3 linked regions of the Callithrix jacchus genome follow. The protein of the gene in region 1 binds, or shares a complex with, the protein of each later gene. Links are inferred from orthologs where the notes say so. Each region holds a gene or a part of one and is shown in the gene's direction. Other genes may lie near its edges. The genes, in order: MAPK10, SH3BP5 and ATF2.

The links.
Region 2: the proteins of MAPK10 (region 1) and SH3BP5 are in contact, whole or in part, in a crystal structure (PDB 4H3B), measured with the Homo sapiens proteins. The link is inferred for Callithrix jacchus from reciprocal best matches to the Homo sapiens genes MAPK10 and SH3BP5. Residues at the interface, in NP_620448.1 of Homo sapiens: Lys121, Asp150, Ala151, Gln155, Val156, Met159, Leu161, Glu164, Arg165, Tyr168, Tyr171, Val197, Lys198, Ser199, Asp200, Cys201, Trp362, Asp364, Glu367; in NP_004835.2 of Homo sapiens: Val341, Val342, Arg343, Pro344, Gly345, Ser346, Leu347, Asp348, Leu349, Pro350.
Region 3: the proteins of MAPK10 (region 1) and ATF2 are in contact, whole or in part, in a crystal structure (PDB 4H36), measured with the Homo sapiens proteins. The link is inferred for Callithrix jacchus from reciprocal best matches to the Homo sapiens genes MAPK10 and ATF2. Residues at the interface, in NP_620448.1 of Homo sapiens: Asp150, Ala151, Gln155, Met159, Glu164, Arg165, Tyr168, Val197, Lys198, Ser199, Asp200, Cys201, Trp362, Glu367; in NP_001243019.1 of Homo sapiens: Lys48, His49, Met51, Thr52, Leu53, Lys54, Phe55.

What each region holds. Positions count from the first base shown.
Region 1 is NC_133504.1:110,986,312-110,990,538, forward strand, and holds the start of MAPK10 (mitogen-activated protein kinase 10), read left to right. Parts: upstream 1-1,427; 5' UTR 1,428-1,555; intron 1,556-4,227. UniProt on the Homo sapiens protein: Serine/threonine-protein kinase involved in various processes such as neuronal proliferation, differentiation, migration and programmed cell death.
Region 2 is NC_133518.1:54,069,944-54,072,520, reverse strand, and holds the end of SH3BP5 (SH3 domain-binding protein 5), read left to right. Parts: intron 1-469; coding exon 470-687; 3' UTR 688-1,932; downstream 1,933-2,577. UniProt on the Homo sapiens protein: Functions as a guanine nucleotide exchange factor (GEF) with specificity for RAB11A and RAB25. Inhibits the auto- and transphosphorylation activity of BTK. Plays a negative regulatory role in BTK-related cytoplasmic signaling in B-cells.
Region 3 is NC_133507.1:54,331,809-54,335,540, forward strand, and holds part of ATF2 (cyclic AMP-dependent transcription factor ATF-2), read left to right. Parts: intron 1-3,019; coding exon 3,020-3,198; intron 3,199-3,732. UniProt on the Homo sapiens protein: Transcriptional activator which regulates the transcription of various genes, including those involved in anti-apoptosis, cell growth, and DNA damage response.

The sequences.
Region 1 (4,227 bases):
TTCCTCAGCTTCCCCGCCATCCCACCCCCTTCTCAAGCCCTTACACATACACATTCTTCTGGGCGGCCTCTAACCACACCATCTCCACAATCATTTGCAGAAATTAGAAACAGACTCCGGGAGCCCTTCCTTTAAGCACGCACAGAACGGAGCTGTGCAAGCACGATGGGGCAATGTCACTCCCTATTACCCCACAATCTCTTACTCCCCCTGTGGGTTTCATTCCGGAGAATCCGGCTTTCTTCCGCGGAGGAGATGGATCTACCTAATTCGCCATGAGTTTCATCTCATTCTTCCCCACTCCAGTCACCCCACCCCCACTCTAACGTTCAAAAACACCCACCACCACAACCAAAGAAAAGTTACTTCTACCAGGGCAACAGAGGAGCTGGGTTTAGGAACTGGAGCAAAAGCAGAGAGAGGAGGAAGAGAGCGAGCGCGGTGTACTTTGTTTTGCACTTCTGCAACATGCAGCGCAGAGCCCAGGGCGGCTCTAGTCCTTACCCGCTGGTCCCGAGACCGGGTCCTGCTACTGGAGCGCCGGGCGAGGGCTGCGGGGACGCGGCGTCGGGGCGGGCCGCCGGCAGCCGCCGCGGGCGCCGAGAGCCACCACCTCTTCTCCCCCAAGCGGCTGCGGGCGTGGGCTGAAGGAGCTGGAGAAGGAGCCTGGGGAGGGGGAGAAGAGGAGCAGCATCTCCTCCTCCTCCTCGCCTCGGAAACGCCCCTCCAGCCGCGATCCCTGCCGACTGCCTGACCCCTGAGCGCTCGACGCACCCCGCCGCCCTACTGTGCTCGACGCCCCTCGAAGAGCTTCGCCAAAACCTTCTGGTGCGGGCGGCTCAACTCCTGCAGGCGACTCAGAGCGCTGCCGAGGAGGACCGGGAAGCTACAGAGCGCGGCTCGCCAGCACCACGGTCTCTGGGGGCCATGAGCACAGTCTGTCACCCTCTCCTCGGCTCGGCCGCCGAAGCTACTGGCATCTCTACGACTCCACCTCCGGCAGCCGTGCCGGCTCCGCCCCCCGGTCCTGTCACTCAACCCTTCCCCGGCTCTGGGAGGGCCGCAGATCTCCGACCCCGAGCTCCCCTCGATCTCATTGGTCCGCCTGGCCTCCAGCTCCGCCTCCTCCCTACGGACGAGGTCGCCGGGGAGACCAGCGCCCCGGTTGCTATGACAACCGGTGCCTTGGGCCTGGCTTTTAGCGTTCTTCGGACTAGCCAGAAGCTCAGGTTGGTGACTGAGCGGCAAAGTTCTAGCGCCTGCAGTGTGAACTCCAACTTGTAGGCCAAGTTGAAAATGCAGCCGATGGTCCCCACACTTCTAACTTCAGAAACAGAACTTTATGACCCGGGGAGTGAAGGGGACAGTGAAAAGTGCATAAGTGCTGGCTCCTCCCTTACTCTTCCCTGCCTCGCAGCCTTGTTTCTATATTCTCACCGGGCGCTTTGGCTTTTGAAAGGATGAGGAGAAGGGGGGAGAGGAAGAGCACGGCTTTGCCAGCTCCTTGCAGCAGTATAGCAACTTAGAAATGGCGGAGTCAACGAAAAGAAGCCCGGTGAGTTTTCCCAGGATTGTAAAGCGATCTTCAAAGGTGTGGTGACAGCACAACGCTAAAGGCCCTAGAGAAAACTTGAATTCTCATGTTTTTGAAAAAAAAGTTTGTAAACATTTGCCTTGTTATTTTCTCTATAAGACTAAAATAATCCCGAAGTTTGAAAATTTAAGGAAAAGGTTTAACATAGTCGATAACTTCCCATTTTTCTATATACACTGAAACTTGGCCAAGGTATATCCAGGCAGCTAGACCCCTTCTTTCTGCAAGCTGAAAGATTTGAGTTCCAGTAGTTAATAAGAGAGTCTTGCTGAATTCATGAGCAAATAGTATCCTGTGAGTTTTGAAAGTTTTGGTTTATTCTCAGAGGTATAAGGTAAACTGGTCCACTCTGGAAAAGGGACCTGAGGTAAATTTAGTCTGAGAACCTTAATGTTGAGCCCTAGGTAAATCTGAATTTCATACTGGTTCCAAAGTGGAGAGAACGGAGGCTTGTTTAGCTTCCCCAAGAAAGTCAAAGCTGCAATCCTAGGTTCCCTAGCCCCTGAGGCTGCCATACATGTATGATGAATGAGGAAATTAATAGTAATGATTTATCTTTGGTGAGCACTTGAATTTTCATTATCTCGTTTACTAAATGAATAATTGTGATAGATATCTTCAGTCAAATATGCCTTGCAAGTATGTATTGAATGTGATTACTCACAGGGCTAAACACAGCGGAAAATGCACAGCAGAATTTTAAGATAAGTCCCTGCCCTCAAAGAGCTAACCAGGACTAGCACTCTTGAAAGAATTTGAGAACAATGATAGCTAAAATGAACAGCCAACCTTTGAGCAGGTAGCAGATAAGAGAAAGTCCACTATGTAAAATGGGCTGGATTCCTCAGTTTATGGAAGAGGGGAATTTACACTGGACTTTGATGAATGCAGCAAAGATGAGGAAAGTCAGCTGAGGAAAACAGCAAAAACTGGAGAGCAGCAGCAGGGTTGAGTGGTGAAAGTAAATAACAGGCCAGGCTCCCTGGCCTGGAGACAGAAGTGAATGATTGGAGTCCTTATTCTCCCCCCATTTTTAATTGTTCTGGTTCCTCTATCAGGGAGGTGGGAAAGGTAGATTAGGAAGAACAAAAACTTTCACGGAACATCTGTTTCTGTTTGCCTCTGAAAGAAAGTTTATGTATTTATTGGAAAGAAGAGCAATATCCTTAATTAATGGCTGTAATAGCTTGTGAATTTACATCAGAAAGGAGGTATAGCAAGTATAGTGTTGTAAATTTCTGCTGAGGTAGGCAAACCTACGAACCACGGTGTTACTAGCTTTTTTCTTCTTTTCTTTTCTTTCTTTCTTTCTTTTTTTTTTTTTTTTTTTGCATTAAGGCCATTTCAGGTGGTTGCCCTCAAGGCATTTTCATCAGTAATCCCTCTGTTTTGGATAAGCTGAAAGGCTGGTTTTCAAATACAACCTGATAAAAAGCACACAAAAGGGAAATATATAGGTTAAATTCCCTTGAGATATAATGTAAAAATCAAAATAGTAACATGGAACCCAGAACTATGTTACAAATTATATGCCAAAATTAAGAGAAATTGCTTCATGTATATAGTATGGCAATTGTTCAATAATAGAAAGTTTTTTCATATGCCTGATTATATTAATAAGTCAAAGGAAGAAAACATTATAAGTATCTCAACTGATGCTGAGAAGGATTCTGTAAAATCAGTATCATTCCCAATACAAATTAGAATTCAGAATAATTTAAATATATATTATATATACATGTTATACTAAAAGCAGCAACTTCCTTTATAACATAGCATTGTAATTATTTCTACTGAAGTCAAGTACAAGACAAGAACACTCACTATCACACGGGAACAATAGAAATGATAGCCAATGCAATTAGATATGAAATAGAAATTAAGAAATTAACTATAAATAACTCAGAATTGTCATTTGTTTGCAAATAATATTAAAACTCCAAAGAATCAACTGAAAAACTTTTAGAAGCAATAAAAGATAAATTAAGATAACTAGTTATAAAATTAACATATGAGGGGTGGGGCACAGTGGCTTATGCCTGTAATTCCAACATTTTGGGGGCTGAAGTGGACAGATCACTTCAGCCCAGGAGTTCAATACCAGTCTGGGCAACATGGTGAAACCCTTTCTTTGTAAACAATAAAAAAATTAGCCAAACGTCGTGGGATGCACCTGTAGTCCCATTACTCTAAAGGCTGAGGTGGGAGGATTGTTTGAGAGCCAGGAGGTTTAGGCTGATGTGAGCCACGATCATACCAAGACACTAAAACAGAGTGAGACCCTGTCTCAAAAATAACAATAATACTTTAAAAAATTAACATACAAAAATTAAGAACTTTCTCATGTATTATCATAACCATTTGAAAATATAATATAAAAATCCTGCTTACAGTAGCCACAAAAACTTAAGTAGCTAAAACTAAATGCTAAAAGAAATTTATAAAACTGGCTGGGCATGGTGGTTTATGCCTGTAATCCGAGCACCTCAGGAGGCTGAGGCAGGAGAATTGTTTGAGCCCTGGAATTCAAGATCAAGATCAACCTGGGCAATATAGCAAGATCCCATCTGTATTTAAAAAATAAATAAATAAATTATGTAAAATATAAACAAAAGTTAAAAGACTTACTTTAA
Region 2 (2,577 bases), on another chromosome or scaffold:
CAGATGACACACACTGCCTCTGTAGCCTGACTCTTGTGCCGTGTCGTATCTCTGCCAGGCCTCTGGCCCTCCGTGCTGCATTACCTGGTCTCTGGTTGTGCTGTCAGTGTTGATCACTGAGGTTATTTCCAAGTGCTGTTCTGGGGAGGCTCCTGGCTCCACTCAGCTTCTATAAAGTAGGGCTTAGGTCCTGTGTCTCACATCAGAACAGTCTCCTTGGCAAGCACATAGTAGAAAGGTTTGTTTCTCAGCTATAAAGTGAATATGGCAAATTTCATCTCTAAAGTCAAGGAATATATAGAACATCACAAGGAATAAAAGCAGTAAGTGATTACATACTCAGAACCTCCCGGATAGGCACAGAAGGCAACACTGGGAATTCCACAGGGCTGAGTTAGCTAGTTGGTTTGAGCCCAAAGTGACTTAAAATTGTCAAGACTCACTTTTGATAATCTTTGTATTTCTATAGGAGACAGGGCAGAAGGGGCAGAAAATAAAACAAGTGACAAAGCCAACAACAACCAGGGCCTCAGCAATAGCAGTGGCGGTGGTGGCAGCAGTAAGAGCCACAGCAGCACCTCCCCTGAGGGCCAGGCCTTGGAGAACCGGATGAAGCAGCTCTCCCTACAGCGCTCAAAAGGAAGAGATGGGATTATTGCTGACATAAAAATGGTGCAGATTGGCTGATTCATCCTGGGCCCTGCCCATGTGCGTATCAACATTTATACATGGAACTGGAGAACATTGTGCCAATAATCATTTAATATATGCCAAATCTTACGCGTCTACTCTAAACTGCACTAATGAAGTTTCAGTGACCTTGAGGGCTGAAGATGGTTCTGGGTAAGAGTCCTGAGCTGGTTTGTTTTTCAGAGCAGAGTTGTCGCAGGCAGACTGTGACCAGGTTCACAGCCTTTGTGGAACATTCCTTGTAATGGCACTGTGGAAGCAATAACTAGTTCCTATGAAAGAACCAGAGCTGGGAAGATGGCTGGGAAGCTAAGCCAAAGTGGGGCCAACAGCTTGCTTCTCTTTCTCTTCTCACCCTCAATTTTGAATGGGAAAATGGAGATTTCACTCCACTTTTACCCCATGATAGCTAAATGATAAGGAAAACCCACATACAAAGCAAAAACTCAAGTATTGAGAGCACATATTTTTGACCCGGTGGAGGCTTAAAAAAATCCAAGAACACAACTCATTTTCATCACCTCTGGTGTTCAGAGGGGGCTTTTTAAAAAGCGTGTATGCTAAGATACCCATTAAAACCATTTCTAGAAAGGCTACCAAGAGCTGCACTTTTTGGGATGGGGAAGGTGAATGCCAGTGGGGATGGGGGGGGCATGAGGGTAGGAGGGACTTATCATAGAAGGGAATCTGTGGCTGTGGGGGAGAAGGTTCTACAGCATAAACCTTATTCTGCCGGCTAAGGGGATTTATTCTAAGAGAAGTGCATGTGAAGAATGGTTGCCACTGTTATTAGATTGACAAGGTGTTAATTTATCTGTAGGTTGTAACTTTAAAAATAAACGAAATTATTTAAGGGTTATGCTGCACTAGTATTCCTTAGAGGAAACTTCTTTAAAGCTAGGAAAGGGAGTGGGCATGTGTTGGCAAAGGCTGTTAAATAGAAGCAACAGAGTCTGTTATGTTAATAGTAGTAAGTGTTAAGACTGCTTTTCTTTAATGTTTTCATGGTAATGCATATTTAGAGCACTGTATTTTTGTCTCGTTTTGTTAAGAAAATTTAGCATTTCTAAAAAAACCCTCTTTCAAATTGTTAATTCTGTCACAGCCTGTATATTTTAGTCATTTGTAAATCTCTTCATACAACAGTGACTCCTCCTTTTTTGACTGATACAGTATCCTAATTACAAGGTTATTTTGTACTTGTCTTAATACATTGAGTGTAATAAAAACCGCTTGAGAAAAGTTTCCTCTGTGACTTCAAATAAGAACTCCCAGTATTGTCTAAATCTTCTATGCCACCCTCTTGCCATAAGGAAGAACATGGAGTGCTGTGGTCACCAGTAATCATTTTCAATTAAGGTTTTGAAGAACAGTAGTAATTTAAGCCTTGATTACCAAGGTTTGAGTTCTACTTCTGCTGCTGCTAAAGCTATGGGCAATGAGGAGACACAGTGACAGATAAATAAAGATGATGTGGTGATGCTGGAGGAATGGTCCTCAGCCTCAGCTGCACACTGCAGTCTCCTAGGAAGCTTAAGTGTTGCTGTCAGGTCTCTTCCCCAGAGTTAATTAACTGGGGGTACACTTGTGCATCAGACTTTTAAAAGCTCCCCAAGGGGATTTCAAATGTGCATTCAGAGTTGAGAATCAGGTGGATCCTTTGTCTTGTGGAAATGTTATAATGGTGGACTCTTAATCTGCATTTCATTATTAAAACATGCTGTGGAGAAAAAGGTCCTTCATTGGCCAATCGAGGTTTAAGTTTCAGAAATATTTACAGATGTTTTACCTACTAAATATTTCATTTAGGAAAGTTCATAGAAGTCTCTTGTGCTATTTAAGAACATTAAACAGCCAGCCGGGCGAGGTGGCTCAAGCCTGTAATCC
Region 3 (3,732 bases), on another chromosome or scaffold:
AGAACAGTACCCAAATAAAGTTTACTATTTAATCTTCATAAAATGTTAATGTATTAAATTTTACTTCATTCATTGTCAGCTTGCAATAGTTTTATATGTGAAAACCTGTCAATACTCAGGTATTTTGGGATAAGAAGACTGCAGTTTTATTGTACACAGAAAAATTATAGGGATATTAGTCATATTAGATAAAACTTATTTTTTAAAAAGATATGTAAATTTATAAATTTAACTTGATTTTTCTGGGTTTTGCTACTTTAGCTACTTTTATACAGTAACAGCTTAATTAAGAATCTATTAAAAAAATCAGTTGAACAATGGTTTTTTTAGACTTTTACAGAATTAAGGGGCTACTTACTCATTCTCAGCAATGGACCTTTGCTACAGCAATTGGGATGATGATGATAATAGCTTGAATACCCAGATAATCTGGACCAGTTGTGTGTTGAATAATGTTATTATGGGAACTTCTGGATCACTTTTTTGTTCACAAGCACATAGAATAAATACATATTTACTTGGGGGTACCATGCAGGACACAGCAAAGAAGCAGTGGGCCACGTAAAGAGGCAGTGGAAATATTCTTTTTTAGATTATTGTTCTAAAACCATAACTTATTAATGGACTTCTGTTATGGCAGAGGAGCTAGAAAGAAGAAAATACAGAAAAAACATCTTTTTGCCTAAGAATAAATGCTTTGTTTTCTGGGTTTTTTTCCATTTTCTTTTTCTGATTTTAAAAGTACATTCTCATTATTCTTCTCTAACAATACAGAAAAATGAAAAGAAAACAAAAATCACTTATTAGCACACAATTGAATAAGAATTACTGTCTTGAAACATTTTTCTAGATATATGCATTTATACTTACAAATATATAAGTGAATAGTTAAATAGGATGGATGGATACAAAGGTCCTAGCTTCATTTTATATTGTGCTTTAGACACTCAGCATTAATGATTATTTTCCCATGTCCTTAGAAATTTCCCCAAATCATAATTTTTAATGGTTGTACTTTATTTTATCATTATATGATATGTATTACGTTATCCTGGTTTTTTTAGACATAAAGATTGTTTCCACATTATCACAGTTATTAGAAATGCTTTTTAAATCTCTGATATAAATCTTTTCTCCTAGATAGTATTTCGTTCTTTTCACACTTAAGAGCTTTCCATTGTTCATGGCTGCTTCAGCGTCTTTTAGGAGTATTCCTTCTTTCTGCATTCCCCAGTCATTAGGCCCTCCTTGAGCAAGGTATACCATATGAAATTGTTAAAAAAAAAAAAAAAAATCTGAGGCTCTTCTTCTTTTTTGATTTTCTTCCTAGGTGATCTCATCCAGATCCATAATTTTAATAAACATCTACATACTGATGACTCCCAAATTTCTGTGGACTTAGGTATCTTACCAGATTGCCATATTTATATCCAACTCCATTTTGACGTTATCTTTTCTATGTCTAATAGACCTCTTAAACTTAATAGATCAGAATCAGAGTCCTTGATTCTTTCCCCAGTTTTCCCCATCTCAGTAAATTTTCTCTATCCTTTTAGTTGTTCTAGCTAAGAATTTAGGGATCATTCTTAATTTCTTCTTTTCTTTTACACTGAAACTAACAGCATGTTTTATCAGACCTGAATCTCATCCTCTATGGCTGTATTCAGTGATACCACTTAAGCCCAAATCATCATCATTTGTTTGGATTATTAACAGTTACTCTCTAACTGGTCTTCCTGTTCTACATCCAGTCCATTTTCTGTAAGATTACTTTTAATATATTAAACATGTCATCTGCTTAAAATCTTTGAATGGTTTGCCATTGTGTTTAAGATAATTCACGCTCCTTGGCATAAACCCTCTTTTATCTGGGCCTGTCTTCCCGTCTATCCACACCTCATGCCTGTCTGTTTTGTTCAACAAATATTCTAAGCTTTTTCCCACCTCAGGATATGACATATGGTATTGCTTCCTCCTCCCTAGAATGAAATGCTCTCTTCCTTATCCTTTATTAGTTCAAATGCTGTTTTTGCAAAGAAGTAACTGCCTCTTCCTCTCCCCAAGCTAATCTTTCTTTATTATATTGCATGTATTATTCTGTAACACTTAACATTTATTGCAATCTGAAATTTTCTTGTGTATTTTACTTGTTTATTGTCTCTTCTCACTAGTCCTTGAGAGCATAAGTTTTCAACGTATTGAATAAATAAAGTTACAATAGTACTAGTTTATCCTTCTTCCTATGTAGCTTAATAAGATTTTGGTAAGTGGCAGCTACAGGCCAAATCAAAGAACACAATAGACCCAATTTTTACATTGACTATTTAAGGAATTCTGGGTAAAATCTTTTTAATCTTTTTGTTCTCTAATCTATAAAATTAGAGGAAATACTATATTTAAGGTCTTGGCTGACTAAGAAATTCTGTTTTCCTAACTTGAAAGAGATTAGTAATTATTTATTTTACATTCAAGATATCAGTATTACCTGGCCTTTTGATATTGGGAAATTATTGATATAGAAGAGGTAGCTACCTGAAATTAACAAATATTTGTATTGCTCTAAAAATTCTTAAGTATTACTGTTAATTTGTATCAACCGTAACAGTCCATTGGACCTATTTCCTCTTCATACGGTATAATGAGGGAGGAGGACTAAACAGTCCCTTCTGGATTTTAAGTTCTGTGATTCTCTGAGAATAAATTATATTTTTATTTTTTATTAAAATTCTAATGGATTCATAGCCAAGTTGCCCAATCTAACTTATTTCTGGATTGACAGGAAAACAAGTTGTACTAAAACAAACAAAACAGTCTTTTAAAATTAAAATGTTAATTGAACATTGCATTTGAATCTTTACAGCTCTTCAATGTTCTTTGAATTTTAATTTTAGATATTTGCTTTTAGTAATTATTATTCTGTAGATGCTTTTAGAAGTATGTTATATTCTGTTCATACTTGATTTGGTACATGAATTGATTTGTATTTTTTAATGCCACCCTTTATTTCATTGTTAAATAGGAAGTACCATTGGCACAAACTGCACAGCCCACATCAGCTATTGTTCGTCCAGCATCATTACAGGTTCCCAATGTGCTGCTAACAAGTTCTGACTCAAGTGTCATTATTCAGCAGGCAGTACCTTCACCAACCTCAAGTACTGTAATCACCCAGGCACCATCCTCTAACAGGCCAATTGTGTAAGTGATTCAGACCAATCATTGAACATATATATGAATTAAGTTTGTTTAGTTATGATTTCTTCCTAGGACATTTGATTATTCAAATTAAGATTTTAGTTTTGTGTGTGTGTATGTGTGTGTGTGTGTGCATCAGTTTTTGGAAAAAGTACTTGTATAGTCTTCTTTGGTATAAATGTTAACTAACAGAATGGAAGATAAATACAACTGAAATAGAGAATGTGAATTTAAGATAGTTTTATTTTCATGCTATTTCACACAAAATATAAAATTACTCGGTCACCAGATGACATTTCTTTCAGTTCTTACTGGTAGCTCCCAAGATCTCTCTGATGAGAATTTGTCTCATTTTACAAATTGGACATTGTCCTAAGTAAATCCATAACTTTTCTCTTCTTTTTTTAATACTGCTATATGGGTTATACATTTAAGATACAATTAAAATAATTAAATTTTGCTGTTTGCAACGCTGTGGTTAGAAAATTTATTTTTAACTGATATGATTATAGGAGTAAAACTATTATTGTATTTTTA